4 linked regions of the Saccharomyces cerevisiae S288C genome follow. Changing the gene in region 3 together with the main gene of any one other region gives a genetic interaction. Each region holds a gene or a part of one and is shown on either strand. Other genes may lie near its edges. The genes, in order: MDY2, TOR1, YDJ1 and BEM1.

Region 1 (6,787 bases), on a different chromosome or scaffold from region 3:
AAATTGTGTAGTTCCCGTCTAAGGGAATATCCAGCCTTACCTTATTAGAGAAAAAAGATACTAACAAAGTCAGCATGATGATCAGAACGTTTGTAAGAGAACCTAAAACTATGATAAATTTGAACATTTCTTTGGAAGAGTTCCAATTGCGTTCAATGAAGGATCCACCAATGATCAAATTCAATAAGTTCACTACCACCTTCCAAGCTTTAGTGTCGATGAAGTTGGATAGAACTAATGAGGTGGGGTACCTCCAAATCTGCGAAGGTACCATTTGCAAAAGCGGCGAAGTAATCAAGTTGTAGTCCAAGTTAGGGTCTTCAAGAACTAGCTTGTTGTACAAGGATCTCCTTATACAGAAAAGGGTTGCAGTTAAGCATATATAAGTGACTGTAATAAATTTAGTAGCATCAGGAATCTTATTGATATTTAAAAATGAATCCGGGATATTCAATTCTAGGAACCTCGAACTATATTGCATTATAGTGAACAAATATCTTTGTTATAAATAGATTAGTCGTCTTCTTTTTCTTGGCTTGGTTTGTATGAGCTTGTTACGTATCAAACAAAATATTCACATGTTTTTCTCACCTTAAAGACAGAGGCGCGATTGCGTTTGCGAAATTCCAATGCCAACAAGATAAGCTTGACGAAGGAGTTAAGAGGGCGGCTTGAACTAAAAAGAGAAAAGCAATAATGACGAACGATATTAAGGAGATACAAACAATACAGCCGGGATTGTCCGAGATTAAGGAGATAAAGGGTGAACTGGCTAATGTGAAGAAAAGGAAACGCAGGTCTAAGAAGATTAATAAATTGACTGATGGTCAAATACGTATAAATCATGTTTCGTCTGAAAAAAAAAGGAGAGAATTGGAAAGAGCTATATTTGACGAACTGGTAGCAGTAGTACCTGACCTGCAACCCCAGGAAAGTCGGTCAGAACTAATCATATACCTGAAAAGCTTGAGTTACTTAAGTTGGTTGTATGAAAGGAATGAAAAGCTGAGAAAACAAATCATAGCTAAGCATGAGGCAAAAACCGGCAGCAGCAGCAGCAGCGATCCCGTACAAGAACAAAATGGAAACATTCGGGATTTAGTACCGAAGGAGTTAATTTGGGAGCTGGGTGATGGACAGAGTGGTCAGTGATTCAAGGAGTAGGGTAAAGTAAGTAATATAAGCGAAGAAATTCTTCCCATACCTTTTCTTCACTTTGCAGAGGGGAGTGGTGCATATCCCACAAAGAAAAGTAGCAACAACAATGATATATATACGTTACTACTAATGCTTTCCTTCATCGAAAGTGTGCCGAAGTATTTATTTAATCTTTTAGTGTTCAACTTACTATAATGTGATACTTTTTCAATATTGTTTGCCGTTGAAGCGATAGTGCTTTATGTCATTTTATCTTTCTTTTACATTGTTTTATTTTAGAGCTAAAATTGAACATCAGTTTGCAAGAAGTCAGTTGGTTGGCCTTTGCTATTAAGAGACCATAATGTTATAGTGATTGAGATCAGTTTCACCAACTAATAACAATTAACCCGGGCGGTTAGTGTAGTGGTTATCATCCCACCCTTCCAAGGTGGGGACACGGGTTCGATTCTCGTACCGCTCATATTTTTACTTTCTTATCAAACTTTTTTTCCTCCGGGACGTGAAATAACCGCCGAGGTTATTCTCGGAGCATTCTTTTTTGTGGCTTTTGATCATCCATCATCATCATCATCATCATTATTACTACTACTACTACTACTACTATTATTATTATTATTATTATTATTATTAGTATTATTATTATTATATTGATTAGTTATTAGATAGATACAATTAAGAAAAATTTATGTAAAAGGTCAGAATAAACAGCATTTTTCTCCTCTTTTTTTATTTTTAAAAAAAGAAAAAGAAACTTCTAGTAAAGTGCAGCACATTCAAGTGTGATTAGTTGAAAATGGAAGCAATTTTACGGTTCAATTTCTTCAAGAAACCGCCTTCCTTCTTGGTTTCCTTCTTCTCACTGACGGCGGCGGAAGCTTGCTTCTTAGTTTCTTCAACTTTGTTGGCAGCTTCGGTCTTCTTTTGTTCGACACCATCAGCAATGTTTTGTTCTTCCTTCTTCACCTGTTCAGCTTCTGGAGTAGCTTCATTTTTTAGGTTGTCGATAGAAGCTTCAGCTTGTTCCTTTACTTCTTGGCCCTTGTTTTGCAAAGATTCTTTGGTTTCTTCCAACTTTTGTTGGACATCTTGGGCGGCAGTTTCAGCTTTGTTTTGAATTTCAGACATTATTAATTGATATAAACGTAGTTTTGTATGTTTCTTTGATTTGAACTTTTAAGTATACAGAGAAAAAAACCGATCAAAGAAAACTAAAGTATAATGAGGTTAAAAACGAAAGTAATAAAGTAGAAAGGCTATCAAGCAAACTGAGATGATCTTCGACGTAAAAACTCGCTCTATATATATACGCCATATAAGCCCATCGGCGATGGGGGACAACACGAAGAAACAAGAGAAGAGGAGAACCGCACAGAAAGCAGCAGAAACAGAGCAAACCAGCATTAACTAAAGATGATAAAAATAAAATTAGGTAAGAAACCTTAATTGGATATACAAAAATACACTGGAGGCACAAATCGCCATCGATATAAAACACGATAAAGCCCTGGTGCACCCATAAACCACACGTTTAACTATTTGGGTCGGGGCACGACGAAATCTAGGGATAGGCACCCGGACCGTCGGGGCAATACTAGGCGCACACCGCGCTCGTGAAGCAGACCTCCCGGCGAGTTTAGCTGCGCCACGTACTGCTCTAACGCGAGAGACTCCTGAAACACAGGTCTAGAAAGAAGGGGCCCCAAAACCCAGCTCCACAGACCGCCCGTAAGCATATCGAGCAACAGGCCACTTAAGTTACGCCACCCGAACACCTCACCTTCTTCACGCAGCAAGAATCCGTTTACCCGGTGCACAACCTCCGCGAGCTCTGCCGCACTAAGATATTCTGACAGAGGCGAGACGGAGGAGCAGCCAAACACGTGATCCCCAATGTCGTAACGCCCGCACCGCACAAAGCTAGTGCCATCGTCGCCCACGATTGCCGCCGGCTCGCTACCGGGAAGCTGTGTACTAAATTGTGGCGTTTCAAGGCTGCTGCGAGACTCATCGAACCGCCGGGGCACTCGTACCACCCGGGTCACCTGGAACTCGGCAGAGCCCCGAGCAGCATACACATTCGGGAAATGTGTAATACACAATTTGTGGTCTTCGTCGTGCTCTGTGGGTTTAGCGTCTTCGGAACCGAGGTCTTCGTAGAATGAATACGAAAACTCATGGTAATTAAAAAATAACGCCCTTTCGCTCGTATTTGCGTTATCTTCTTCCTTTTGATGGCTATCGCACATCTAGTAAGGGTTAGATTGAGTATTGTCCTCTAATGTAACTTTTTCCTCTTATTCCTCTCCTCCCCTTAGCTATTATATATCTTTTTTACCGAATCTTGAATTAGGAATAGTTTTAAAATCAGGCCGGAGGCCGAGCTTGCGACAACTACGACCAAAAAAAACAAAGGAAAAACGAAAAGAAGAAAACATGCACAGGAGAACATAGTTGGAGAAAAGGGTTAGAACAGACCGATACAGAGATAAACTAGCGAAGAATAATAACTTTATACAAAATTAATCATGAGCACATCCGCCAGCGGTCCAGAACACGAGTTCGTTAGTAAATTCTTGACCTTAGCCACTTTAACTGAACCGAAGCTACCAAAAAGCTATACTAAACCTCTGAAGGATGTTACCAATTTGGGTGTCCCGTTGCCTACTTTGAAGTATAAATATAAGCAGAATCGTGCCAAGAAGTTAAAACTGCACCAAGATCAGCAAGGTCAAGACAACGCCGCCGTCCACTTAACCTTAAAGAAAATTCAAGCTCCCAAGTTCTCCATCGAGCATGATTTCAGCCCATCAGATACTATCTTACAAATAAAACAGCACTTGATCAGCGAGGAAAAGGCCTCCCACATAAGCGAGATAAAACTGCTTTTGAAGGGCAAAGTCCTCCACGATAACCTGTTCTTATCGGATTTGAAGGTCACGCCTGCCAATTCCACAATCACAGTCATGATTAAGCCGAATCCGACTATATCTAAGGAACCCGAAGCCGAGAAATCCACTAACTCCCCTGCTCCTGCTCCTCCACAGGAACTCACTGTGCCCTGGGATGATATCGAGGCTCTTCTGAAGAACAATTTCGAGAACGATCAGGCTGCGGTTAGGCAAGTCATGGAGCGTCTACAAAAAGGCTGGTCTCTGGCCAAATAAGATTAGTATAGTTAGTACGTACATACTTGTTATTTTACACAGTTGCGCTTTTTATCACGGTTGCGCTTACTATTTTCTTCTTTCCTTTGGGCGGCTACTCGCCCTTTGTCTATTTCTCGCCATCGCCACATACTCTCTACCGCGATCAATCTTTTCCTGGGTAATACCATTCAACGCAACCTTCTTCTTCATCAGGACTTTCTCAAAGATATCATTCGGATTGAGCAATCTTTTTGGGAAATTTTGAATCACTTGCAAAATCTCCATATCTGCCTCTTCCTGCGTCTTAATCTTGTTCTTTAATCTTTTGAAAGTTGAATCAGAGTCATTACTACCACCGAAGGTGTACGAAGAGTACTGTCTAAACAGTTTCTGGCTTTTACTCTCCAAAAACTCGCTTTCGCTCAATTTCAGTATCCCCAAAGCCACTTTAAATAAAAAATGAGACTCTTCATAGAATAAACAGTCCCATATTCTCAGGGTCGTTTCGATGGGCACCACGCCCACAAAACAGCTCATAAACCAACTTGCCGTACACAGCGTCAGCGTAGGCAGCCTGCAGAGATATTCTTCCCCCGATGCTGGCCCTGATATCTGGTCAGTGCTGCCATTGCCATTCATATACGATGACTCAATGTGTGACCATATCTCGGGTAAATATTCCTTGATACATAACACCAACACCCCTTGATCCACGTTCGCACCCTCTAAGTCTGATTCATACACGCCAGGTAAATACTTACCGGTAATAATAACCAGCATCCAAAATGCTTTCTCTTCTTCCATGAACAATAATAGCAATCCAACGAGAAAATTCATCGATTGGCAGTATCCAATAGTCTTGTCATAAACAGAAAAGGCCATTAATACTCGACGCAATGATCGGATGATCGCCGGCTCTCCATTTTGGAAGGACTCCTTATGGAAATGTATATTATCGGGAAACGTTCGATAAAGATCCCGTTCTATAGCTTCCATATCTTTACCAGATACGGCACCCTCGCGACAGTCACTTTTCAGTCTATCATAAACGCCAACATTTGCGTCTAATTGTCGTTGTCCACCAGCAAAATACCACCAGGCATTCCCTCTCCATTCTGCTGGTATACCTTTTCTAACAAATTTTGACAATTCATCTGTCCTTGCAGGATATACTAGAGGATTATCATTGTGGAGCTCAATCTTATTCTTAAGAAGAAAGTTCTCCCACTTTTTTTTTCTTCTTTCGGTGTATCTATTATATTCTGTCCACCATTTGTCGTATTCTTCCTGACTAATGAAATATCCTTTCTTGCTAAATCCATATCTATCAAAATTCTCAGGATCTGCCATGATTAAGCTGGTAAACGCCTTTGCTTTTTCAAGCTCACGTGTTGTCAATATTTCTTTTCGTTCTACTGTAGAACTATCATCCCCTTCATCGTCGTCATCGTATAAATCAAGAACGCTATAATTGGCATCGTCTTCGTTGAATGACGAAACTGTGTCAAAAACACTTTCGTTCGGTACCAAGGCGGCTTCTGTCGACATAGTTGATGACATTATCATCCTGTCATGCCGGGTTTTGCCTTCTGTGATTGTAAAAGTGTGCGAGTCTTCCTCGATTTTGAATTACTTCGGTGCCAAATGTACAAAATACTATCCTAACTTTTCAAAAATAGTTTATTCTTATAAAATCATCCGTAAAATGATTAACTGTCCCCGCTAAAAGCGTTTGTAAGCTCAGTTCATAGATATGTCTTCCATCCGTAAATCCGCCTAACGAATAGCAACACATTCTTTTTCCTTTTACATTTTCTATTGACATAACGCGAAGCAAACGTATCATTGTTGTTTTTTTTCTATAAATAATCAAAAAGAGTAATTGTTTTAGATGAAATAAAAATGCGATTAAAATATGAATCATACATACGTATATACATATATATATATATTGTTTCTCCTAAATAAAAAAAAGCTAAATTTCAATGCCACTTTAAGGATACTTTGAGCTGCTCAGGGCTGCATGCCATTGACAAAAATTCAAACGTTAGTAGTTTTCTCACGGATGCTCTTGATTCGACATTCACTTGCAAACAGGCATCTAAGAATTGTTTGGTTTGCTTGGACACTGACTCTGGATGACGCAATTTTGGTGAACCGTTGTTAGCTATCAGATACAGCGCCTTCAAAGGATCCTCATTTAGGTAAGGCGGTTCACCTTCTATCATCTCAATAAGCATTATCCCTAGAGACCAAACGTCGACTTTTTCATCATATCCCTTTTGATTCACTATTTCAGGTGCCATCCAATATGGAGTACCTACCATTGTGGCACGCTTGCTTCTTTTTTCTGTTAATTCCACACAAAAACCGAAGTCTGTAATTTTCACTAACCCTTGGGAATTCAGAAGGATATTATCAGATTTGATATCTCGATGGATAATTTTCTTGTTATGCAAAAACTTCAAACCTTGGCACGT
Region 2 (11,376 bases), on a different chromosome or scaffold from region 3:
CCAAGTCATGTTTGCTAGGCTTGGATACAGTCAATCTTGCAAAATTTTTTACCTTTTCTCTTACAATAGAGATACCACGTTCGTCAGAAGCGTTCAACTCCAATATTCTTGATTTCATCAAGTCGGGTCCATATAATTCTTTTGTTAGCGCTAAAATGGTAGACGTTTTACCAGTTCCTGGGGGACCATAAAACAACATATGTGGTAGATTAGCTGACTTTAAGGTTTTCTTCAAAACAGTAACGGCATGATCTTGAGCTGTCACTTCATCTAGGTTTTTGGGCCTGTATTTCTCAACCCAGGGTTGTTGTGCCAATGATTGCTCTGCGGCTAACTTTGATATCTTACGCTTTTTATTTGGACCAAACCCTTCAAACATCTCAAGTGATTGCCAATACTTTCCCCCAGTATTTCTCGCTGTCTCTCTATTTTACTTCTCTTATAGCATTGACTTGTTCGCTTGAGTTACTTCCTGATTGCTTTGAAATACGCGAAGTAAAAGAGTGAAAAATAACGATGAGAAAGGTTTTTGATAGAAGAGAACAAAAAAGGAACAGTGTTACAATAGTATATAGAGATGTCGAATACTTGGGACGATGTATGGGCATCAGACAGTGATGTCGAAACTGAACGATCTCCAGATTTAGTGAAGTTAAGAGAGAATCATAGCAAGAGGGGGTACTTGGACGGAATAGTGAGTTCTAAAGAAGAAAAGCTGCAAGAGGGTTTCAATGATGGTTTCCCAACGGGCGCTAAATTAGGGAAACAAGTTGGCATAATTATGGGGATTTTACTTGGCCTACGAACACGTTTTGGTGATGAAGATGAGGACCTCAGTAAGGCATATATTGATGCTCAAAAAGAATTACGCATTAACAAAGTACTTAGTAAGTCCATATTTGATCCAAACTTTGACTTGCAAGAAAAACATCCGCTCATAACAAAATGGACTGATATTGCCAATACCTATTGTGAAAAGTACCATGTGCCATCTATCCAATAAAGTTGTTTTAAATGGAGTTGATTTCACAATTTATGTACCTTATATCATCCTTCATTTCACATAATGACGAGATATTACAAAAATAATGATAATAATAATAATAATACACAATACTTGCACACGTATACAAATGCGTAATACAAAAAAAATAAATAGTAAACAAAGCACGAAATGAAAAATGACACCGCAGTCACCAGAATGGGCACCATCCAATATAATGTTGACATAACCTTTCAATAGAAGTGGCTTGTTGGATCAGTTTATCAACCTGCTCAGGGACGTCTAATTCATTGAACCTCTTGATATCATTGCCCGTTAATTTATCTGTAATACGTCTCAAAACAAGCATTGCTCTGGCGTTTTTGGTCTCATTTTGTTGTTCTGCTTCCATATTTGCCGCTTCTTCGACAGTAATTGCCCCCTTCCTTAATAATTCACTAGGATTAATCAACGGCAAAGGAATTCCAGTTTGCTCAGTAAGTTTTTGTGGCGGTAAATCAAATCCCCAATGGATCAAAGGATCAAGCGCAAAAGCTTCCAAGATCGCCATTAATGATTCTTTATTATCTCTTAAGACTCTCATGACATTTTCACAAGTAATTCGGAAACTGCCTTCAATTCCACTAACTTCCATTGCGTATGTTAACATCCTAGTTAGTCTAAATGGCACTTTTTCTGGATACTTTTCTCTTAAGATGGCAGCTTCAAAACAATCGCCGAAATCAATGTGGATAACTTTACCGGTGATTCTATCTAGCATCAGGTTGCTTGGATGGCGATCACCTAGTCCCAGAATATAACCAGTCATGGACATAACTGCTAAAGATCTCGTATAAGTTGTTCTACGTTCTAGCCATGTCTCTGACGACCTACTCTTTAACCATAATATTTTATAAAGGTCTTGGCCTTTTGTATTATCTAAAGCGTACGTGAATACTTCAATTTTTTGTAAAAGAGTCAAATTCTCATAATCGGGGGCCATTTGTAACATAACCCAATGTTCAATGTTCAACGGAATTTTTTTGGCATCACGGTGTTCTCTGATCAAAACGTGGAATGTGTCACTATTTGGTACCCATCCTAGTAAACCAGATTTAGGCGACAATGGAATAGCCGGGTATTGTTGGATATCCAAATGTCTCTTGAAACACTCTGAATCATTCTTCAACAAAGTGTTAACTAGACCAAATAATTGCATAACAAGGCTATCTTGTCTTATATCTTCATGTCCCTTTAAAACGTATTTATAATCTTTACCGTCGCTACCCTTGATGGAGAATTTTCTTGGCCTTTGCTTCGAAGAGATCACAGAAAATAATGGCTCAAACTTCGCTATTCTAATGGTAGGTTTTCCTGGGAAATATGTCCCAGGAACAGCCAATTCGAGATCATGAGTAGCCAGAAGCTGGGGAGAAACATGCTGTAAGTCTAAGGTTTGTAACTGTGGTATTTGACGTGTTATTTTTCTGAAGACGTTATAATAAATATCCCAAGCTTGGTTCAAATTATTGATGTCTTTTGACTTTTTGTAGTTATTCAACCATTCGTAGGCATCGTTCAAATCTCTACCAAATGATTTCTGAAACGATACCTCACTTAACGTTTGAGGCTCATTGCCTAAGTGTTTATGTAAAGGTTCTAAAGTAGAAAACATTTTTTCTATGTTATGTTCAACGAAAAATTGGCGGCTCGCATCTTCCAGTCCTTCATACCATAATTCGTGCCATAGAACGGCTACTCTGATCAACTCGTGACTAACTAATTCTGCCTGGTTTACCAGGACTGGACTATGAATCCTAATTTTCTCTATTATTGAAAGAGCCGCTTTTTGTCTTGAAACAGATTCAGACTTGATCGCGACAGTTAAAGGATACACGAGAGCTTGTGGATGAGCTTTCCCTAAATCAGAAAGCAACGACAAAAGGGAATTACTCACCGTAGGATCTGGCTGATGTATACGAGAGATCAACTGTGGTAAGACTTCAAGCCAGTTCTCTATTTTCATCAAATTGAAGCCTTCATACATGGCTTGTGAGACTTCTTTAATACCACCAAAGTTAAATAAAAGAGTCAATAACCTCAACGTGTCTTGCAAACAACTTGTTTCTAATAGAGATATTGAATGAAAAAAGCCCTTGATCGCTGGAACAACATGTCTTTGAATAAGCTCTAGCGGGTATCTGTTGCCATTAATAGTCAAAGAACCACTTCCTAGGATACTACCGTCAATCCGCACATTATCATTATTAACTGCCGTGTCATCATCATCATCATTCTTACCTCCGTTGAGCTTAGTCTCTTCCTGAACCATGGATATTACTTCAAAATTAGCTAAGGCCCAATTATGCCATGCCTTGTACCAATTTTTATCGAAATGTGTAGCCAATAGATAAGAACCAAGAATTGCATCCGGATTTGTGTTTCTCCAGTTCGGTTGTGTTGCTATTCTCCACTCACCTTGCTTTAAAAAACATCGAGCTAATAATTTTGTGTATTCCTCAACATACGGAGCAGTACTTGCACTTGAGAGTTTGACACTTTGCGCGATCATATTATTCGGATCCAAACCAAGATCATGCGCTAACCTGGATGTAAATCCTATCAAGTGGTTTAATGCTTCTTTATAAGCTCCTGTAGCCCAAATATATTTTAGTTGCGCGTAAACAACTGGGGGAGGAGCTTTGAACGTATTTGGTAAACTAGGATCGTTGCCTCCTTCTAGTAGCATATTCAATGCCTTATTTGCTAGCCTCATTCTACCAGATTTTCTGCACAAATTTGCAAATTTTATCCATATTTGCAGGTCTTGCTTGGGCTTTATTACCAATGATCTTACTCTAAGCACTCTTTGCCATAAATCGACATTTTTTTGGCAGCCCAGCAGTCTTTTTGTCCAAAGATTTTGATAGTGAAGTTTTTTCTCGGAATTAGGTGGCAATTGTTTATACTTGATGATTTCCTCAAACTCTGTTATTATTTGAGTTCTAACAATAACGCTATATGCTCTATTATAACTTTCATTGATCAACGCGGAAATTTCAGTCACAAGCAAATCTCTGGCGTTTAATATATGCTTACTAGCATTGTCGTAATCATTCTTGTGCAAGTATAAAATTGCATCAAAAAATTCCTTATCTGGAGATTTAGGTTTCATAACGCTGATATATTGCTCAAGCATATCCCACTCTCCCAACCCCCACGCAGCACCAGCTGCCAAGGGAGCTATTAGCTTCTTAGTTTGTAGCTTCGAAACTTTCCACTTTCTAGCTGCCAATTGCGACAACTGTTCCCATTCGCCAAGGGCATGAAGGGATCTCATCTTACCGAGTGTAACGCTCACGGAAGTATCACCTGCCTTTTCACGTTCATTATAAGCATGTAGTGCATCTTCCCAACGCTCTAATTTTTCAAACCATGTCTCCTTTAATTGAAGTGAATGATGTTGTTGGGCATGCTTTAATATACCAATTGCAGCATCCGTTTGATTCAGCTGGTTGTTAATGCTGATCAATGATTCAATAGTTGAGTTCTCAGGCTCTTTAATAAATTTAATCTCTTTATAATGTAGCGCTTTGGCATAGGCGTGACATCTTTCAGCATACTCGCCCAGGCTTTGAGTTGGTATTGGTAATGCCTTGTCATCGTGTTCCATAAATTCTACCAGGTTTAACAATGTTTGATGTATTTCTGGTGGATTTAAGGGAGAAGATAAGGCTATACATAATGACCCAATTAAATCTTCTTGATATTGGCTATAAAGTTCGGTCCAAACACATGCGAATGCGGTATTAAAAAGTTCTTTGGCTAGTGGATAATACATGCTTGCAAGATTTGAACAAGCTCTTAGAGCATGGGAGGGTGACTCTTTTAATAATTGAATGGATAGACGTTTGCTCCATTCCTGCCAATCTTCTTTAGTTCTTTGTTGGCTAGAATTCCATGCACTTTTCAAAACTGATTGGTTTATAGGTAATTTTGCGACCCCAGCATCTGCTGCCTCCATTTGTTCCGCGGGCTTATAATCCGTTGTATTTGCTTCAAGAATTTTTGTGGGTAAAACATCATTGTTTAATATTCTGTTTGTCAAGTCATCATATATTGTGTGTTGAATATGTTTCTTCATTAAAACTTCATTAATGACAGGGATGAAGATAGCAAAGGATGTGCCCATTTGTATTAGCAGTAGACTTAAAGTATTCATAATGACTTTTGAGAGTTCGTCACTCGTTGTTGAACTTAGTACCCTAAGTAAAGAGTGAACAATTCTTGAGGACATCTCAAAAAGGTCAACATCCTTGGCCAGTTTGCCAATAGTAATTATTGCAGACCTTTGTAGGTTCCCGCTGGTGAATTCTGCCATTTGAACTATCTTGGGTGTAATCAAATGCGAATAACCTTCTAAGTTAGGACCAAACGATTCTAACAGTCTCAATACCCTTCTGGAGAGGACCTTGTCACTAGACTTGTCATTCTCCAAAATTACAAGGAACAAGGTCAGAGTAAGAGGGACCAATCTTTTGAATTCACCCTCCAGAGCCTTTGATATTGCTTCAATAACACTTACAAGCGTTATTTGTAGCTTAGCAACCGAAGAAAAATCTTTGATAGCCTGGAATATAGAATCGACATGAGGTCTTATGTGTTGCCTTACGATAATAATCAAAGAGCAAAGCTGTTGGAAGTAAAATTCTAATAGTGACTGAGAGCATGTACGCATTACGTCCAAAATAGTTGGGATGATCTGGTCCAAGAATGAAACACATTTTAGACCAAGGGTTTGAAAAATATGCATAATCGCTTGGATCACGGCAGTGTGGTAAGATGATAGGGATGGATCTTTTAGGATTTTTAGCAGGCAGTGAATGACAACAGTGGTATAATACTCATCATTCGAAGGAGACATGCCCTGCATGAGAAGAGCAATGTCGATAGGCGGGGCGTTCTGTTCTGTAGATATATCGGTAGTAGAGGTAACCTCACGTTCTTTTTGGCGATATGGGTCGATAGCTCCCAGTATACCTATCAAAGTGACTGTTTGTCTCCTAATATTTTGAGAGTTTTCTGTCTTCAATATATTCACCAATATACCCAATAATTCGGGATAGTCGAGTAAAGGATCTATCACGTAACCAGATGAGGCTGCAAGTTGACCAAGGGCCTTAAGTGCAGCTTCTCTCTTGAAAGAGTTTGATTGATCCTGAAATGTTTTGATAATTAAAGGAAACAAATCCTTAAGATATATCTTCATATCTTCGCCCCCTACAACAGATAGCTCACCTATAGTTCTCAGTGCAGTTGATGCAACCGTTGAAGAGGTATCTTGGAATTTTGGTAAAAGAACATTTAAAAGAGGTTCGATATAAGGTTTCGCAACATCTTTACTCGACCTGATAAGAGTACATAACAAACTGGCAGTTTCTTCCTTTTCTCGAGAAGAAGTTGAGAATTTTAATTTTGTTAGCAGTTCCAGTAGTATTTTTCTTATCGATGGGATGACGTATGCAGGGTTTACGGAAGACAACCTACCGACAAGCTCCATTGCTACTGACTGAATATTGAACGACTCATCGTGCAGTGCAGTAAACAAGAGTCTCAAATTATCTGGTTGTGCCAACTGGGGATCGAAACATGGATTAAGATTCTTTAAAACTTCTAAACGGATATCTTGTAAAGGGTCCGCAATCGTAATGGCTAGAAGCTTTGATAACACTTCAGATACAGTGTTCAGAGAGTGTAGTGATGTTTGTTTGCAGATGTTATCCTTGACGTAAATTTCACAAGATGTCAACGCAGCTAGTTTCCTTACTCTGGGATCTGTATGCTCAATGTAAGAAAGTGCAACAATTCTCACGAATTCCACCAACGAAAATCTGCTTTTGATATTTTTTAACATTCTAAAAGCTTGTATAATGATTTTTATATCATTATTATCATCGTTACTTTCACCAGTTTTCTGTAGGATGTTTTTATTTCTCCATTCTCTTGCTCTTTCTCTCGAAAACGATGGTATCTCCATTGGTGACCCTGGCTGGATAAATGGTGTTCCAGATAAGGTTGAACAGACTAGGTTAAGCAACTCGTCATTTATTTTGGGGCCTAGTGATGGTATTCTCTCAGTCAGAATTTGAAACGTTTCCTGCATATAGTCGGAAAGAGGGCATTTGAACATCAGGTCCAGTATATTTCTGTTTAATAATTTACCTAGAACGGGGCCCAAGGGAACTGCCAATCTTCCGATGCAGTAGAAAATTTCATTTTCAAATTTCTTTCTGAATTTGAATTTCGTCTGTAAATCATGTTCAATATAATCAAGAATTTGTTTCACATAAGGTGCGATATCGGGCCCGACTTCATATGCAATATCACCAATCGATATTAAAATCTGTGGTTTGTCATCTTTGAGATGTGGTATTTTATTTGCTGGAGCATTGGTTAAAATCTCTAAATAGTTGTCCATAATTTGGTGCAAATATTTGCCAGCAAATAATTGAGGATTGAACGATGCTAATAGGGGAACAATCTGGTAAATCTTTTCTCTAATCATTTTCGCTTTATGATTTTCATAAGCTATGCAATTTAGACACATTTGGTCGAACACTTGATTCAAAAAGGGATCCTTCAAAAACAAGATTTCCTTATAAACCAACAAACTTGCATGGATGCATTCTAATGTGTTTACTTGAAATCCGTATTCACAACTTGTAGCCAATCTCTGCACCCACTGGCTAGTTAACTGAGGATCCCTATTTCGTAGGGTGGAAAGACATTTGGCCAATGTAATGGACGCATCAATTCTGATCACCAAATGTGGGTCTCTTAGTGCTCTCCAAATGTTATCTAGTATGGAATTCAAGTATTGGTAGAGTAAATAAGGACAATTCTCTGCCAACGCTGTTATAATCAGAAGCGCAGCATGTTTAGCATGGTCTGGCTTCGAACTCGAGAATGAATTCTTTTCCGTGGAGGCAGTAAGCCATTCTAAGCAAGACTTTATCTCAAATTCCACGAAATCAGAGGTATATGTACCTCCTGGAACGGCTAACTTGCCCAGAGTCTTTGCAGCGAGTCTCATGACCTCTACATCATTAGAAGGTATTAGCCCTCGAAGGTAACCAGCCAGTCGTGAAGTTTCGTTAGGCAACCTTTCAGTATATGCGTAGAATGAAATCAAAGTGTCTATGGATAGAACAGCCCCTACCCTAGTGCTCGTTTTTTTTGTATGGACCAGCTCCAAAATCTTATTGTTTATGTCATTTGAAACTGCTTGGAACTCTTCTATCGACAATTCATGTTCCAAGGATACTAGTAGATCAAATAATGAAATACTGGCCAATTTTCGTTCCTCCTTGTAATCACTGGTTAATTCGCGGAAAATTTTCTCCAAAATGGGCTTAAAATTTACATCCCCATTACTGCCAATCACCACTCCATCAAACCTACTAGAAGTCAGACCGAATTCATCCCCGTTCCTGCTCGCATTCATTTTCATGTTCATATTCACATTCAGATTCGGTGCCAACGGCACATTTCTATCCATGTCCATATCGTTGTTAGCCGCTTTCAAAAGTTTACTCTTCCAAATCTGCTCCTCATGCGGTTCCATATCAATGCAAACCTGCTAGCCGGTTGATGTATGTTTCACTTTACCAATGACTCTCTCGTGAAGCTACTATGGCTCTTTTTTAACGTAAGCTCAAGAAGACCCTTCGATAAGGACTTTCAGTAGTCACCCGGCTGTCCGCGGCTTCAAAATGGCGAGAACCCCTTTTCAAAAGTTTCAAACAAAAATATATGAGAGTAGTTTAATCAAGAATTGGCCCTACCGTAAGGCCTCACGATTGAGCAAGAAATTAGGATTCAATGTCATACTTAAACAATCCCGCTGTTGTCATGGACAATGGTACCGGGCTGACCAAGCTCGGTTTCGCCGGTAATGATTCTCCCTCCTGGGTCTTCCCTACTGCAATAGCCACAGCTGCACCTTCAAATACAAAGAAGTCCTCGGGCGTTGGTGCGCCCTCAGCAGTTAGTAATGAAGCATCATACTTTGGAAATTCCACCTCTGCAACCAATTTCAATGGTGCAACAGGTGGTTTGCTGTCTAATAATTTATCCGGTAAAAGAGGTACAGAAGATTTGGATTTCTATATTGGAAATGAGGCTTTAGTAGCATCCCAAGGACCCTCTTACTCTTTGAGCTATCCAATCAGACACGGTCAAGTGGAAAATTGGGATCACATGGAAAGATTCTGGGAAAATTCCATCTTCAAGTATTTAAGAACAGAGCCTGAAGATCATTTTTTCCTATTGACCGAACCACCACTGAATCCTCCAGAAAACAGAGAGCAAGTGGCGGAGATTTTTTTTGAATCATTTAATTGTGCTGGTCTATATATTGCTGTGCAAGCAGTTTTGGCTCTGGCTGCGTCATGGACCTCTTCAAAAGTCACGGATAGATCATTAACTGGTACTGTTATAGATTCTGGTGATGGTGTCACCCACGTCATCCCAGTGGCGGAAGGTTACGTCATTGGCTCAGCAATTAAAAACATTCCAATAGCCGGTAGAGACATCACATTGTTCATCCAATCCTTGCTAAGAGAACGTGGTGAAGCAGACACTTCCTTGAGAACTGCCGAAAAGATTAAGCAAGAATACTGTTACGTCTGTCCAGATATTGTAAAGGAGTTTAACAAATTCGATAAAGATCCTTCTAAATTTGCCCAATTTGTGGTGGAAAACCAAGAAAAGACAAGGAGAAAAGTCGTAGATATTGGTTACGAAAGATTCTTAGCACCTGAAATCTTCTTCAATCCAGAAATTGCATCCTCAGACTTCTTGACTCCTTTACCCACGGTAGTGGATCAAACTATCCAGGCTTGCCCTATTGACGTCCGTAAAGGTTTATACAACAATATTGTACTATCAGGTGGGTCTACCATGTTCAAAGATTTTGGACGTCGTTTACAAAGAGATCTAAAGTCTATCGTAAATAACAGAATCGCACAAAGTGAGCTGTTAAGTGGAACTAAATCGACTGGTGTAGATGTTTCCGTGATTTCTCATCGGAAGCAGAGAAACGCTGTCTGGTTTGGTGGCTCGCTGCTGGCACAAACAGCCGAATTCAAAGGCTACTGTCACACTAAGAAAGATTATGAGGAATATGGTCCGGAAATTGTTAGAAATTTCAGCCTTTTCAACATGGTTTGATTATTGAGTCATGACTCATCTTATAAGGAAAAAGGTACAAAAACAAATGCAAATAACTGAAACGCCCCTCACTTCATTTAAATATACGTATACAACTGATTATATACACGTATATGTACAATCAAGTAACCCCAAATGCTGATCTGAGAAAAAAAATTGTGGGATATGTGATTAAAACTTATCTTTTATTATTTATTTATACAAAATCAATACTCATCTTTACCACTAATGATGACGTTATCAATCTTTAAAATCATTCTACATAATTGAGTAGCTAAAAGAATTTGCTGCTTTTTGCCAATAAATGGATCAACGACAAATAGTTCCTTCATGTCATTAGACCCGTAACCTAAGCAATCGACACCAATGTTGGAAATCTTTTCTTTCAGTTGTTTACTTTTCAATGTAGACAAAGTTCCGATTGGATCAAGACCAGAATTTTCAGCCAAAGTCATTGGAATGGTGTCTAACGCTTGGGCGAATCCACGGAATGCATACTGATCAATACCACGTTGCTTATCAGCTTCCTCAGAGACAGCCAGGGACATAGTCACTTCGGCTGCTCCCCCACCGTAAACTACACGTGAGTCTTTAACCAAGTTACGTACCACACATAGTGAGTCATGCAATGCACGTTCAGCTTCATCCACGATCATTTTATTGGAACCGCGAACAAAACATGTTACAGTTTTTGTTTCTTTACTTTGCTCGATAATCAGCATACGATCCTTAGTAGTACCAAACTCCTGCTCGTAAATTCTGGAACATGTACCTAATTTATCCTTAGACAAGTCTTGAAATCTTGGAACAATGCGACCGTTTGTGGAAATGGCAATGTGTTCTAGTTCTTGGCCACCTACCCATCTTACGGCAGGTAAATCATTCTGTAGAAGTAGATGATTGGCCTCATCGTCAAACCCCCATTGGCATATAACAACATCTGCGCCCGCTTTCTTCACATCGTCTATCATTTCTTTGAACTTATCTTGTTCATAAGTCTGTAATTTTTGGTATTCTTCTACTGAAGAAATGTCTAATTTATGCTTGGTCTTTGGTTTAGGAGGTTCAAATGGACACGTTAATATAGCTAACTTAACACCATCAGAGCCCTCTTTTGGTAAAACACATTTAGGCATTTGTGGATGAGAAAAATCTTTATCCAA
Region 3 (7,216 bases):
TATTTACATTTATATACTTAGTTGCAATTAGCTTTGTGCCCACTGAGTGCGGTTGCTAAATGTCTTATAGTCCCAAAGGATGCAAAAATCTGGTGTAGTATTCGCCCTTTGGGAGTGGCCTTAAACCCATATACGACTCTTGCTTTCCCATTCGAGTCATATTTCAAACCAATAGACCAAATACGGCTGAGATATGAATCTTCTTTAATGCGCCTCTCCACGTAATTAAACTGTTCAACGTCTCCAATCTCATAAAAGAAGGAGTCTGTCTTCGGCAGCCAATAATTTACTAGATTTATATAGCATTCAAGCTCACCCACTAGCGCTAGCCTTGGTTCGAACAGCTTTACGGAAGTTTTAACATCTCTATTGAAGTCACGCTTTCGAATGTAGGGGGGGTTACCGGTTAATATATCTATATGGGATGGATATTCATCGCTAGCTTTTGAGGACAATATATTATGTTGCACGAGCTTACCACCACTCACCTTGTTTTTCAGCATATTTTCTTTAACCAACTTAATTGCTCTTGTTGACACGTCAATGGCAGTGAACGTGCAATTTGCTATACCATGACTCAAAGCGAGAGCAATACACCCTGTTCCTGTAAACGTATCACAAATATGCAGTGGTATAGTATGCCTTGAAAGCATAGAGTTGTTTAGAGCTCTTATTATGGCCATCACCCATTCCTCGGTTTCCCATCTTGGTATAAGAACACCAGGCTTGCAAACTATGTCCAAGGCCCCAAACGGTTGCGATCTTAAGATGTACTGCAATGGGACGTGTTTGTATCTCTGTAAGCAAGCCCAGCGGATTGATTTATCCGGAGGCAGCTCTTCGGTGAGCCATTTGTACTCGAGTTTCGCTTGCTCGAGAGTCCTACATTCTGGAAGCAAAAGATGCAAACCAGGTCGTATTCTCGAAGCTTTTCTTATCAATGATGTAGATATTCGAGGCATATGTTCTTTCTAACCGTTTCTTTTTCGTTCCTACCATTCAACTATCGCTCCTTGTCTACGAGTTAAGGGGAAGAGAGTGCAGAGTTTCTAAAAGCACTTGAAAACGTAACAAGACATTGACCGTAGAGAGTCGGCAAAATAAAGTCGTTTATACACGTTTGAGTTGTGTGTATTCAACTATGGAATACATTGTTATAATGAGTATGTTGGTATAAAATAAGATGTGAAGTCGCTGGTTTGAGCACGTGATATACACCTGACCTATAATATTTCGTACAAAATTATAGAAGGCCATCGAAAAAATAGAAAATTTTTTCATTTCTTTTTCAAGAAATGAAAAGGCAATAGAGCATCGGCAGGTATGGAAAGTATTTAACTTGCAGATCAATCCACGTACTTATAAAACGTGTAAAAACTTGCTCTACGTTTATATGTTGGTTAGGTAGTTCTTGTTTGATAAGGTGTGTAGTTCGTTTTTATAAATCAAAGTCACAAAAAGTCCTTTTCCCCATATATATTAGGCCCGAACAAGCGTCTTATTTGATAACTGTTACGTATTTATTTTTTTGTTATTTGTTACCATATCTTTTGATAGAACATAATTAAAAATTATCCAAACTGAATTCTACATCTTCCAACAACAATAATAAACGTCCAAAGATGGTTAAAGAAACTAAGTTTTACGATATTCTAGGTGTTCCAGTAACTGCCACTGATGTCGAAATTAAGAAAGCTTATAGAAAATGCGCCTTAAAATACCATCCAGATAAGAATCCAAGTGAGGAAGCTGCAGAAAAGTTCAAAGAAGCTTCAGCAGCCTATGAAATTTTATCAGATCCTGAAAAGAGAGATATATATGACCAATTTGGTGAAGATGGTCTAAGTGGTGCTGGTGGCGCTGGCGGATTCCCAGGTGGTGGATTCGGTTTTGGTGACGATATCTTTTCCCAATTCTTTGGTGCTGGTGGCGCACAAAGACCAAGAGGTCCCCAAAGAGGTAAAGATATCAAGCATGAAATTTCTGCCTCACTTGAAGAATTATATAAGGGTAGGACAGCTAAGTTAGCCCTTAACAAACAGATCCTATGTAAAGAATGTGAAGGTCGTGGTGGTAAGAAAGGCGCCGTCAAGAAGTGTACCAGCTGTAATGGTCAAGGTATTAAATTTGTAACAAGACAAATGGGTCCAATGATCCAAAGATTCCAAACAGAGTGTGATGTCTGTCACGGTACTGGTGATATCATTGATCCTAAGGATCGTTGTAAATCTTGTAACGGTAAGAAAGTTGAAAACGAAAGGAAGATCCTAGAAGTCCATGTCGAACCAGGTATGAAAGATGGTCAAAGAATCGTTTTCAAAGGTGAAGCTGACCAAGCCCCAGATGTCATTCCAGGTGATGTTGTCTTCATAGTTTCTGAGAGACCACACAAGAGCTTCAAGAGAGATGGTGATGATTTAGTATATGAGGCTGAAATTGATCTATTGACTGCTATCGCTGGTGGTGAATTTGCATTGGAACATGTTTCTGGTGATTGGTTAAAGGTCGGTATTGTTCCAGGTGAAGTTATTGCCCCAGGTATGCGTAAGGTCATCGAAGGTAAAGGTATGCCAATTCCAAAATACGGTGGCTATGGTAATTTAATCATCAAATTTACTATCAAGTTCCCAGAAAACCATTTCACATCAGAAGAAAACTTGAAGAAGTTAGAAGAAATTTTGCCTCCAAGAATTGTCCCAGCCATTCCAAAGAAAGCTACTGTGGACGAATGTGTACTCGCAGACTTTGACCCAGCCAAATACAACAGAACACGGGCCTCCAGGGGTGGTGCAAACTATGATTCCGATGAAGAAGAACAAGGTGGCGAAGGTGTTCAATGTGCATCTCAATGATTTTCTTGATAAAAAAAGATCAACTTATTCACGATTCATTTATTCATCATACTTTTCACTTCAAAATACAGTTTTGTAGCTATACATATGTAAAGTAATAATGGTAGAAAATGCAGTTTACCAAAAAAAGTTCTAATTATGACGAAATCTTAAGGAAAGAGTAAAGCAGGGATTATATGCTGAAATTTCCACTGTATATATTTGCCACAGAAAACCATTTTTTGTATTAGGTATATTTAGTGCACCTTTAACATGTCAATAATTCAACGGAAAATTAACGAAGTAAATAATACATTAATTAGGAAAAATTTACATGAAAGTCTATAAGCTGTTTATAAAAAAAATATGCAGGGATAAGTGTCTATCAAATTGAAGAATGCCAATTAATTATGATTATCGTTCTGGTCTCTTTTTGTTCCCTTTTTGGCTTTGACTGCCAAGGTGTTTAACCAAGACTGTCTTTGTTGTTTCAATAATCTATCCTCCCTCCACTTCATACCATATTTCATCGGAATAAACATTAAGAAGTTGAAGAAAAATACCAGCGCACATAAAAATGTAAAAGTACCACCTACAGTCATCGCAGCTTTCATTTTGGCAAAGCAACCCATGAAGATGGTACTCAAACTGCACCTAACAAAGTTGAAACAACTACTTGCTGTAGATGATTTCGTTGGGTACAAATCGACCAATAACGTAGTTGATGTTGATAATGTACTCATAGCACAGTATGAACAGACAAATGAAGTAATTAAAATAGATTCGATCCTCCAGCCCTTATCTATACTCCAACCAAATAAAAGATAGGCTACGACGGCCAAGAAATTTTGGGGCAGAAGACAAACTAAACGGACTTTGAACATATTAATCTCTGCGTCTTGTGGAATCAACCCGTTAGCTTTGTCTTGCTCGAATTTCTTGATCTTTCTCTTGAAATACATGTCAATAATTCTACCTGTGAAGAAGGAACCCATTAAACCGCCAATACCACCGGGTAGATAACACACACCAATAATGACCAAATGATAGTTGTATGGCGCCACTGATAAACCGGATGAAATAGAGGAAAGCATTAACGTCCACATAGCAAATAAGAGCCCTGATGGAAATAAAGACAGAATAATTTCTGGCAATACAAGGATCTTCCCGGCGGATGACAAATCTAGTTTCGGAATGGTGGGATCTAATGTCTCATAATCAGGATTATCGTACTTGAATCTCCTTCTAACTGGGCCCAGTAGGAAAATCGGCGCTCTGTTGATGAATCTTTTAGGCTTAATGGAAAGGTTACCTGCAATGGTTCGCTTTGTTTCTGGCAAAATAAGAAAGGCAATTAGAAAACAACTTCCACAACCAATGGTCAAAAACCAAAAGATAGCTCTCCAATCCCACCTTGCAGTCAGGACGGCACCAATAAGACTACCAAAACATTGACCCAGTAAAACAAACCCTGAGGTGGCGCCAACAAATGTACCTCTTTCATGCTTCAAAGTGAAGTCCCCGACAACACCAGAACTGATTGCAATTGTGGGGGAAATACCAATACTCTGAATACACCTCAAGAAGATAATAACACCGTATGATGGAGCACATGCTAGCCCGATGGATGCAATAACGTATATCAGCATACCTGCTAAAATTATAGGTCTCCGTCCAAAGCAATCCGCCAGACCACCGCTAACTGTGGGAGATATACCTTGAAACAACAGATACACAACCACAGTAACGTTAACCATATTTTCATCCACATTAAATTGCTTTTCCAACTGCCTCAAAGCGGGATAATAGATCGGTGATCCCAATGAAGACCAAAAGCCACACATTGTTAGAATTGCAACCATTCCCCACTTCTGACCGTAACTTAGTAAAGTATATGGCGCTTTTGTCTCTGCAGTTATCTGTTGGGTTGGATCAACTTTATCATCACTGGAGTGAGAAGAAGTCTCAGAGTCTAAATCGCCTTCTATTTCCCTTGTGGTAGTCTTGGATAGAGTCCCGTGACTGTTGATATAAGCGCCTTCGAAATTTAGTTTTTCACTTTTCGTTTGACCATCTGGTTTTGTGTATTCTCTCGTCAGATGCTGCTCATTGTGAGTAGGATACATCTCAATATCTTCTGTGTATATACTGTTACTTCGTGACATTGCTGATTCGACTTTCTGAATCTAGCTTGGATTCTCAAAAAAATAAATTTATCTCCGTATAAATGCTAACTTTGTAAGCCTGGAAAAATCCATAATTTTATATAGAACGACAATATTAGCAATAAAAAGTTAGTAAAAAGTGTATAACCTTGACAGTGTTAAGCGTTATATAATATTGAGTATGATCAACTGTATCCTCGATGAGGGCAGAGAAGTTTCTTTTTCCTTGCCCTAAGGTGCCCGCAACTTCCCGGTGACGAGAAAAAGAAACGTTGGAACGGCTTCTCGTCTGAAGAAAACAATGCAGGCCGGGCATTTCACGGAACAAAAACGGTTCCATCAAGCCGGGTGATTCATAAATTATCCGATACCGGAACAAATCGGTGAGAGATTTTCCGATGGAGGACGGGTAACGAGCCGGTATTTACCGATCTATGGAGTTTCCGAGTCATTACGGGTCCTTTTGTTTTCGTGTATGCTCCCTTCCCCGTAAGAAGTATACGTAGGAAGTGCGGTCTGCGCTGGACAGTATAAAACGGAAACAGGAGTCATCGAGGGGCTCCGGATTTTTTTTTCTTTTTTTAGCATTTAGCCTAATTGCACATTGTGAATAGATTGCCGTAGTAGAAAAAAGCCTTAGGAGTAGATAGCATACGGCAACAGAACTACAAAAAAAAAAAAAAGAGATTTGATGTCTTTTTTTTTTTTTTGGGTGGTTTTTAGGACAATGAAAGAAGAGGTGTGCGATGTATGTAGGTTTTCAAATGTCTTTAATATTACAAAATAATTTATGTCTGGAAGAATGATAAATAGAAACAAAGTAAAAAAAAATTGATATTAATCCGGCGTGGGTTTTAGTGTATGTTAAACAGACAATAAAATGGACGGGCAGAAAAGAATGGGGTAATAATACAATCAACTTACTCAACTGTTGATGCGCCTAAGTTTAGTTGTATAGAACAAACTTAGCTTTGCCAGCAGTAACGGAAACGGTACAACCGTCAGAGCCACCGCTGAAGCTACCGTTTTCATAGATACATTCACCGTTGACTGTAGAAGAGTCATCAGCGGCGACAATTTTGACATTGAAATTCAATGCGTTACCGTTGTTTGGGTTGGGAATCAAAGAAAGGTAGGCGACACCATCAGAAGAACCAGCGCCAAAGTTCAATGGAGCCCAATTACCGACGCCTGAACTTGAAGAACCCCAAACACAAGCATCTTCGACAGAAATACCGGCATTGTTAACGTAGTATTGCGCGGATGTCTTCAATCCTTGCCAAGTGTAGTAGGTGTCCTGATCAACGACAGTCAAGGGTAAAGAGTCACCTGCTTGCACATATGTAGGAATCACCATGTTTTCGGTACCCGGGTAATCGGTCCTGCAGATAGCAACATCGTTGCTCAATTCAGAGACGACGTAAGCGGCATCAACGCCCCATTCGCATAAATAGTCAGTATCTGTATTTGAACGGTACAGGTAGCCGTCCTTACATAGCAAACCACCAATGGATCTGCCGTCAGATGGTTGGTCAGAAGGCCATTGTGTCTTGGACATACCTGGTTGGCAAGCGTATGAGCAGTAAGACCCTTCTTTACAAGAGCCACCCGTAGAAGTGTCAGTATTTTCAACACCAGACCAGCCACCTTCATCTAACCAGCTGATGGGGATAACACCTTGACCAGATGGAAATTGGCCGCAAGGAATGGTACCGTCTTCAAATTTTTCATATGGACCTGAAAAGTCAGCCAAATCACCGTAGATACTTCCAGTTGCACTGGAAGCTGCTGAAGATGTGGAAGCTGACCCAGATGTGGAAATAGGCACAGAGGATTCGCTAGTAGAAGTTTCTGAAGATGTCAGAGTTGTTTGAGCCGAAGACGAGGTGGTAGCGATTTGTTCAGTACTCTCAGAAGAAGAAGCAACTTTGGAAGAAGACTTGGTGACCGAAGATTCGGAAATCAGAGTAGTAGTGGAAGCAACTGTAGAAGAGGCTTCAGTTGAGGTTGGAGTGACGGTCTGACCATTTTTATCGACAGTGACTGTTTCGTAAACGTATGTAACTGCAACGGCCCTCTTATGCTGGTGTGAACCATGAGCAGTAGTAGTACATCCTGTGTCAATATCAGCCGCATACGGCAAAGCGGAAACGATTGTGCTATAACCGATCAATGAAGCCGCGGTAAGAGTGGTGGCGGACAGTTTCATTTTATCAAATT
Region 4 (7,895 bases), on a different chromosome or scaffold from region 3:
ATCAGCATCGGTGAACATCTTTAATAGTATCGACAACTTGGCTCACGTACTTCTCACCGTCAAGTGCGATTTCCGGGTCATGCAATACCTCGTCTGGTTCTTGATCTTTATTCGTGGCAGAATTATGCTGATCCTTATGAGGAGGGCTCCTCAGCTTGGCATACTTTAGTCGCTGATTTCTTTCCCTCATTAATCGCAGTAGTTGAGCGTGCGACTTGCGCATTTGCGTGAGATTGCTCTCAAAATCTCGTGGGAACCCGTCGTTGACGATAGGTTCTTTCGCCATCTTCTTCACATCATCCAGTGTATCGATTTCAGACCATGATACGTCTTGCGTCTCCGTAGGTGCCAGGTTTGAGTGCATTGTTATACGGCTACCATTTACGCTTCTTTCGTATGCAGTATTACCCCTACTAATGCTGGTCGTTAAGGGGTTTAGTGCTGGAGGCGTGGTTAGGTTTTTGGTCGGAAGTGCGTTGGAACTGCCCATTATAGAGGCAGTGGAATCTGAAGATCCCTTTCTTTTATCTTTGTCGCTCTTTGCCTTTAATTGAACCAGCTGAGGGTTTCCTTCCTGGCTACTAGATTTCCTTCTGTTGGTGGAATCCGCGTCGCTTACTTTCACCTGGACTGGTGGGGTTTGCTTCACTCCCATTATTTGTCTTCGTTCGTGCCAGCAACATACATTTCATCTTATTTCTCTGGAAGGTTTTTACAACAACCAGTTACATTTTTCATTTTTCTGTTCTTCGCCTTTCTTGTTTTGGCCCCGATGACTGAGCGAAAAAAAAAAGGCTAAAGAAGACGCTATGATAACCGCCGAGCAGGTCAAGTACGATGTCGAAAAAGCATCTAATAGTTACATATCGGATTAGGTTATACTTATTACATATCACTTCCATGCTGTTATTTTTTTCAGTGTGAATTATGGCCTGAAAGCACCTCCTGCAAGGGCTAAATTGCTTCTGCTGAACTTGACCTTAAAAACAGGCGTCTTTTTGGTGTAGAACGACGCTACTAAATCGCTTGTAGGTATTACTGTTCTTCTGCGACCATATTCTTTTATATCTTGGTTTATAGATGCAGTAACGTCACCCAAGTATCCAATGAATGGCTCATCTGGTTCTGCGCTTGGCTCAGTAGTGGCCTTTTTCAAATCCCATACACGGACTGTATGATCGGCACCTCCACTAATAAGTACGTTTCCCTCTTTGCTATATGATAAGGAATAAATGGCATTCTTACCATGGCCACGCATTTGTTTCAACCTTTTGCCGGTACCAATATCCCATACATTAATAATACCATCTTCGCTACCAGTGGACAACCACCTACCATCTGGACAAACAGCAATAGAAATGACGGGCGCAGTATGTCCAAGAAATAACCTAACCGAGTCGCCTGTAGAAACGTCCCACATTCGACACGTCTTATCGCTGGATCCCGTAAACACATAGCAACCGTTCGGATGAAATGACACACAATCAACATCATTTAAATGTCCTGCAAATATTCTTAATGGATATATGTGATCGCATGACCATAACCTTGCGGTTTGGTCGTGCGATGCAGTGGCGAAATAATGGCCTAGCGGGGAGAAACTAACATCCCACACAGGGTGATTATGGCCCTTATAGCTTACTAGCGCGGTGTGAGTATCCATGGACCATAGCCTGACGGTTTTATCTTCAGAACCAGAAAGTAAATACTTATTATCCGGACTGAAACTTGTTGAATATACTGTACCACTGTGCCCCACCAAAGTTTTACACGTTGGGTCTTCATCCTTGTCGTTGTTATTTAACGCGATGTTAGGATTATTAAGTGATGAGCCGTCGAGTGACCAGATCTTGATATAACTGTCTTGAAAGCCAGCAGCCGCTATCCTACAATCATCACTGAAATCTAAACATGACATGTCTTTATTTGTGTTTTGGAATGTATACATGCACACGCTTGGTAAGGCCAACTGTAAATTATCTAGTTTGATGGCATCACGAGATTCCTTGACCTTCTGAATCTCCAACTTCAAATCTAGTGCCGTCTTTGGTGGTAAAGGTAAAATATCACGTGCTGGCGAAGATAAATTGCTGTCTTTTTTTTCACCATCCACCTTCAATTCGCTCTCTTTTTTTTCCTCATCTTTGGCGATTTTATCTTTAATTTTGTCTTTATCATCGTCGCCAGTATTATCCTTAAATTTTTCGTTATTCATAGCTTTATATTCTTGCAATAAGGTTCTATTGTTGGCTCCACTGTAATTGTCACCTGCAGTTTGTTGATTTAGTTGTTTCTCTTGATCATCCTTAATTTTCAATTCAGTTTCAATCTCCTTAACAAACTCCTCGTCTTTTGGGAAAGGTCCCAGCTTGACAGGAACAGAATTCATTTCTAAATTTTGTTTACCATTTCCGTTTTCACTATCACTGAGAACTTTTATTCCATCAGCCAATTTTTCCCTTGCGGTTACTGATTCTACAATATTTGGATCTAGGTGCTGATTTATTACACTAATTATTAATGAACCTCCAATACTCTCATTTTCATTCAAAAAATATAAGAGAAGATTTAAAGTGGTTTTAGACATAGTAATTCTGTACTTGTGAGATTGGAAAGCACTTGCGACCTCATTTTCCTTGATGTGATCTATAGAATTGACACTGAAAAGTCTATTAATTTCTGAGCCATGGAAGTCCTTAAAATCGGGAGAAAATCTATCAAAGAAACGACGGGCGTAAACAGGATTTTTGGCCACCAAATTTAAAAATAAATAAATGAATATTGGGTACATGATGTAGCTTAGTTCCGGCTTGTAAATTTCCAGCGACGAATCTACCCAGTTTTTCAACATTGAATATGCACGTATATAATTTTCAGGTGCGTTGAGCCCTTCTAGTCGCCCGCTAGATACTATACCACCTTCTGCATCTCTCTTGGATGACAAATTAGTTGGATTGCTTATGGGTTTAGCTGTCTTCCCGGGGTTCGGAGGAATTGATGATTGTTCAGGAAATTTACCTGTTTTAGTATTTGCTGGTGATTGTTTGTTTTGAGGTGTTAGTGTACGTCCACTCTCGGCTCTCAGCATGGCCTCTGTACGGTGGTATCCCTTTTTATTCAGGTACTCTAGGACAATTCTATTCAAGTCTGACGCCGAAAACGGACCATTGGACCTCCCCTGCTGTTGAGACTGGCCTTGACTCTGTTGCTGTGGCTGCTGGCCGGAATTGGCGCCAGCAGCATTATTAGTTCGTTGATTCTTTACTGGTTGTGGCTGATGCGTGCCATTTTGATTCTGATTCGTACTTTGCTTCTGTGACATTCTTATTTTTCAAGTATCTCAACTTGAACCCGGAGTTTCTCGTATCTTTTCTCCTTCTCTTTTCCTACCCTTATGCCTGCTTTATTGCTCTTTCTGCCACTTTGTAGACTTCATTTGAAATCTTGAAACTTTTTTGCTTTTGAACAATTCATCTGAACCCGTAAAAGATGATATTTACAGCTACTTTTACCCGGCTAAGGGGAGAATTCCATTCAACGGAACGAGCTCTATAAGACGTTCTCTAACTGCATGTAGTGAAATATTTTGAACCATTTGATATGCAGATACTTTCACGGTGTTGCACGGCTGTATAATATACAATAGGCCGTTACAGCAGAACACAATTTTTAGTTTAGACCCAACAAGGTGAACCATACGAACTGATATGAGGTTTCTTTCAAAAAGGATACTGAAACCTGTACTTTCAGTGATCATTCTAATATCGATTGCCGTAACCGTTGTTCTTTACTTTTTAACGGCGAATGAGAACTATTTGCAAGCAGTCAAGGATAGTGCCAAGTCCCAGTATGCTTCTCTCCGGGAGAGCTACAAAAGTATTACAGGTAAAACTGAAAGCGCTGATGAACTTCCTGATCATGATGCTGAGGTGTTAGATAGCATAATGGACAGGCTACACGAGCCCCTTTATGAAAAGGACACTTTTGACCCGAATGAAGTCCTTGCTGAAAATAAACAGTTGTACGAGGAGTTTTTACTTCAAGAAATTTCTGAGCCAAAGGTGGACAATTTGGTACGTAGCGGGGATCCGTTAGCCGGCAAGGCAAAAGGAACTATTTTGAGTTTGGTGAGAAATTCTGATTTAGAGGATATAATTTCTTCTATTCAACAGCTAGAAGAGGAGTACAATAAGAATTTTGGATATCCCTATACCTTCCTTAACGATGAGGAATTTACTGACGAATTCAAAGATGGAATAAAAAGTATTCTTCCTAAGGACCGTGTAGTAGAATTTGGCACTATTGGTCCAGATAACTGGAATATGCCTGATAGCATAGATAGGGAGAGATACGACCAAGAAATGGACAAAATGAGTAAAGAGAACATTCAGTATGCAGAGGTGGAATCCTATCATAACATGTGTCGTTTCTATTCTAAAGAATTTTACCATCATCCTCTGCTATCTAAATATAAATATGTGTGGAGATTAGAGCCAAACGTGAATTTCTATTGCAAAATTAACTATGACGTTTTCCAATTTATGAACAAGAATGACAAGATTTATGGGTTTGTTTTGAACCTCTATGATAGTCCGCAAACCATCGAAACGCTATGGACTTCAACTATGGATTTTGTCGAGGAACACCCAAACTATTTGAACGTCAACGGAGCCTTCGCATGGCTAAAAGATAACTCTCAAAATCCAAAAAATTATGATTATACTCAAGGGTATTCAACTTGTCATTTCTGGACCAATTTTGAAATAGTCGATTTAGACTTTTTGAGGTCAGAACCTTATGAAAAATATATGCAATATCTTGAAGAAAAGGGAGGATTCTACTATGAAAGGTGGGGTGATGCCCCTGTAAGAAGTTTGGCACTTGCTTTATTTGCGGATAAGTCAAGCATCCATTGGTTCAGGGATATAGGTTATCACCATACTCCGTACACGAACTGTCCAACTTGTCCAGCAGATTCAGATAGGTGTAATGGAAATTGTGTACCAGGCAAATTCACTCCTTGGAGTGATCTAGACAACCAAAATTGCCAGGCAACCTGGATAAGACACTCTATGTCTGAGGAAGAGTTAGAAATGTATTGAAGACATTAGCTTTGAGAATTTGTGCCGCTGCTTTCGAGAACGGCATCACATCTGGGGTTTTATGATTTAATTTAGGACGCACATAGATAGATATATATTATGGAATTAAGAAAAGTTTATAATGTAGCAACCTAAAAATGTTACAGGTGAACATTCATGGAAAATGAAATGTTTCTCAGCCAGTAGATAGTATTGTTGAAGGTATTATTGGTTTGAGAAAGCTACTCCTCAAAAATGTCACTTGATAATATGGAATTATAATGTCGTTATATTTTCAATCATTTCAATACAATATGGTAAACCGAAATCCAAAAACTTTACAATATCTCTTATCTATTGTTATTCGACATTCTTCCCGGGCCTTAACGGCTTCTTAACTAATATTACCCTAAACGGACAAATGGCGAAGGGCCCCATTCATTTACGAACAGGAAAAAAAGAAAGTGACAATACAGCCATAATTTGATGTACCATCTTAATCAGCATATGTTTTCACTAATATACTAAACCCATATGGATGCACGTTGAAAGCACTGTGTGAAAAGAAATTGTCAAGAAAGCCATATAAATGCTGAAAAACTTCAAACTCTCAAAAAGAGATAGTAATGGGTCGAAGGGCAGAATTACATCCGCAGATATTTCCACACCTTCTCATGATAATGGGAGTGTTATAAAGCATATTAAGACAGTACCAGTGAGGTACCTTTCTTCATCTTCCACCCCAGTGAAAAGCCAACGGGACTCTTCACCAAAAAACAGACATAATTCTAAAGATATTACTTCTCCAGAGAAAGTTATAAAAGCCAAATACAGTTATCAGGCACAAACTTCAAAGGAACTATCTTTCATGGAAGGTGAATTTTTTTATGTATCTGGAGATGAGAAGGATTGGTATAAAGCTTCAAATCCTTCTACTGGAAAAGAGGGTGTTGTCCCCAAAACCTATTTTGAAGTGTTTGATAGAACTAAACCTTCCTCTGTGAATGGATCCAATAGTTCAAGTCGGAAGGTTACAAATGATTCATTAAACATGGGATCGTTATACGCCATTGTTTTATATGACTTTAAGGCAGAAAAAGCTGATGAGTTGACAACTTATGTGGGAGAGAATTTGTTTATTTGCGCCCACCATAACTGTGAATGGTTCATTGCTAAGCCAATTGGTCGACTTGGAGGGCCCGGCCTTGTTCCTGTTGGGTTTGTTAGCATCATAGATATTGCCACGGGGTACGCAACAGGTAACGACGTAATAGAAGACATCAAGTCAGTTAACCTACCAACTGTTCAAGAATGGAAAAGCAACATTGCAAGATACAAAGCTAGTAATATTAGCCTTGGTTCTGTGGAGCAGCAGCAGCAGCAATCCATTACAAAACCTCAGAACAAAAGCGCAAAGCTGGTTGACGGTGAATTATTAGTGAAAGCATCCGTTGAATCCTTTGGGTTAGAAGATGAGAAGTATTGGTTTTTGGTTTGCTGTGAATTATCTAACGGTAAGACGAGGCAACTGAAAAGATACTATCAAGATTTCTACGATCTGCAGGTTCAACTTTTGGATGCGTTCCCAGCAGAGGCCGGTAAGTTGAGGGATGCAGGTGGACAATGGTCCAAACGTATAATGCCCTATATCCCTGGACCCGTTCCATACGTTACCAATAGCATAACAAAAAAAAGAAAGGAGGACTTGAATATATATGTGGCAGACCTAGTGAATCTTCCCGATTATATATCTCGCTCAGAAATGGTGCATTCCTTATTCGTTGTTTTGAATAATGGTTTCGACAGAGAATTTGAAAGAGACGAAAATCAAAACAATATTAAAACATTACAAGAAAACGATACAGCAACCTTTGCAACAGCATCTCAAACTTCTAATTTTGCCTCAACTAACCAAGACAACACTTTAACTGGCGAAGACTTGAAGTTAAACAAGAAACTCTCAGATTTATCTTTATCGGGCTCCAAGCAGGCTCCAGCCCAATCAACTTCTGGATTGAAAACTACTAAAATTAAATTTTATTACAAAGACGATATTTTTGCTTTAATGCTGAAGGGTGACACAACCTATAAAGAACTTCGTAGTAAAATCGCTCCAAGGATTGATACAGATAATTTTAAATTACAAACCAAATTATTTGATGGTAGCGGGGAGGAAATTAAGACTGATTCACAAGTCAGTAACATAATCCAAGCCAAACTGAAAATTTCCGTTCACGATATTTGAATCTAGTGTTAGAAGACGAAGCATTTTTCTTCTTTACTTGGCAGATGCACATAGGTTGAACATTTTAATCAACTTTATGATGATTTGCGAGAGTAATAAGATTCTCCCGAACAGTAATAATATTAAGGTATCCAATTCTTCCGAAACAGCGTGATTTGTAATAAAAATAAATAAGGACATATATGTATATAGAAAGTTGCTTAAACTTTTTAGACCACTTGGAAATATTTTTTATTTATATTTTTCTTCAAATGTAAAGTTGGGTACCTAAGCTTAAATTCACCTGAAAATGAATTATATGAAAGATTTTACACCACATGTAAAAAAAAACGTACAAAAAGCCAAATATTTCCACTCAATCATAATGCATGAATTATAGGTATTTTAAGTTATATTGCTGACGTAAAATTCAGAAGAGACTACAAGAAAAATTCTGAACATATTTATTCTTAAATATGCTTTTGTGCTTCCATATGTGTCAAAGGATAATGTGGCTCCCTTTCGATTTAATGAAGTGGCGTAGATTTCATTGTGGCGCTGTTCTTGTTGGAACACTGAGCTTACGTAAC

What was found.
Region 1: mutations in YDJ1 (region 3) and MDY2 together harm fitness more than expected from each alone (negative genetic interaction), as found in Saccharomyces cerevisiae (4 studies listed by BioGRID, with this or other methods).
Region 2: mutations in YDJ1 (region 3) and TOR1 together harm fitness more than expected from each alone (negative genetic interaction), as found in Saccharomyces cerevisiae (4 studies listed by BioGRID).
Region 4: mutations in YDJ1 (region 3) and BEM1 together harm fitness more than expected from each alone (negative genetic interaction), as found in Saccharomyces cerevisiae (3 studies listed by BioGRID).

Annotation. Positions count from the first base shown.
Region 1 is NC_001147.6:105,796-112,582, reverse strand, and holds MDY2 (Mdy2p), read left to right. Parts: upstream 1-3,686; coding exon 3,687-4,325; downstream 4,326-6,787. Other genes in the region: YOL107W (uncharacterized protein), read right to left, coding at 1-481; INO4 (Ino4p), read left to right, coding at 697-1,152; ZEO1 (Zeo1p), read right to left, coding at 1,945-2,286; SHR5 (Shr5p), read right to left, coding at 2,694-3,407; Rab GTPase-activating protein MSB4, read right to left, coding at 4,395-5,873; putative serine/threonine protein kinase SKM1, read right to left, coding at 6,290-6,787. UniProt on the Saccharomyces cerevisiae protein: Required for efficient mating. Involved in the production of alpha-factor, the KAR9 and TUB1 location to the shmoo tip and nuclear migration into pheromone-induced shmoos.
Region 2 is NC_001142.9:556,646-568,021, reverse strand, and holds TOR1 (phosphatidylinositol kinase-related protein kinase TOR1), read right to left. Parts: upstream 8,607-11,376; coding exon 1,194-8,606; downstream 1-1,193. Other genes in the region: RFC2 (replication factor C subunit 2), read right to left, coding at 1-379; YAE1 (Yae1p), read left to right, coding at 578-1,003; ARP3 (actin-related protein 3), read left to right, coding at 8,864-10,213; chaperonin-containing T-complex subunit CCT5, read right to left, coding at 10,420-11,376.
Region 3 is NC_001146.8:501,504-508,719, reverse strand, and holds YDJ1 (type I HSP40 co-chaperone YDJ1), read left to right. Parts: upstream 1-1,622; coding exon 1,623-2,852; downstream 2,853-7,216. Other genes in the region: MTQ1 (S-adenosylmethionine-dependent methyltransferase), read right to left, coding at 18-962; AQR1 (Aqr1p), read right to left, coding at 3,236-4,996; putative glucosidase SUN4, read right to left, coding at 5,943-7,205. UniProt on the Saccharomyces cerevisiae protein: Probably involved in mitochondrial protein import. Is also required for efficient translocation of pre-pro-alpha-factor. Involved in heme regulation of HAP1, as a component of the high-molecular-weight (HMC) complex.
Region 4 is NC_001134.8:615,202-623,096, forward strand, and holds BEM1 (phosphatidylinositol-3-phosphate-binding protein BEM1), read left to right. Parts: upstream 1-5,670; coding exon 5,671-7,326; downstream 7,327-7,895. Other genes in the region: YBR197C (uncharacterized protein), read right to left, coding at 2-655; TAF5 (chromatin modification protein), read right to left, coding at 926-3,322; KTR4 (putative mannosyltransferase), read left to right, coding at 3,708-5,102; YBR200W-A (uncharacterized protein), read left to right, coding at 7,782-7,895.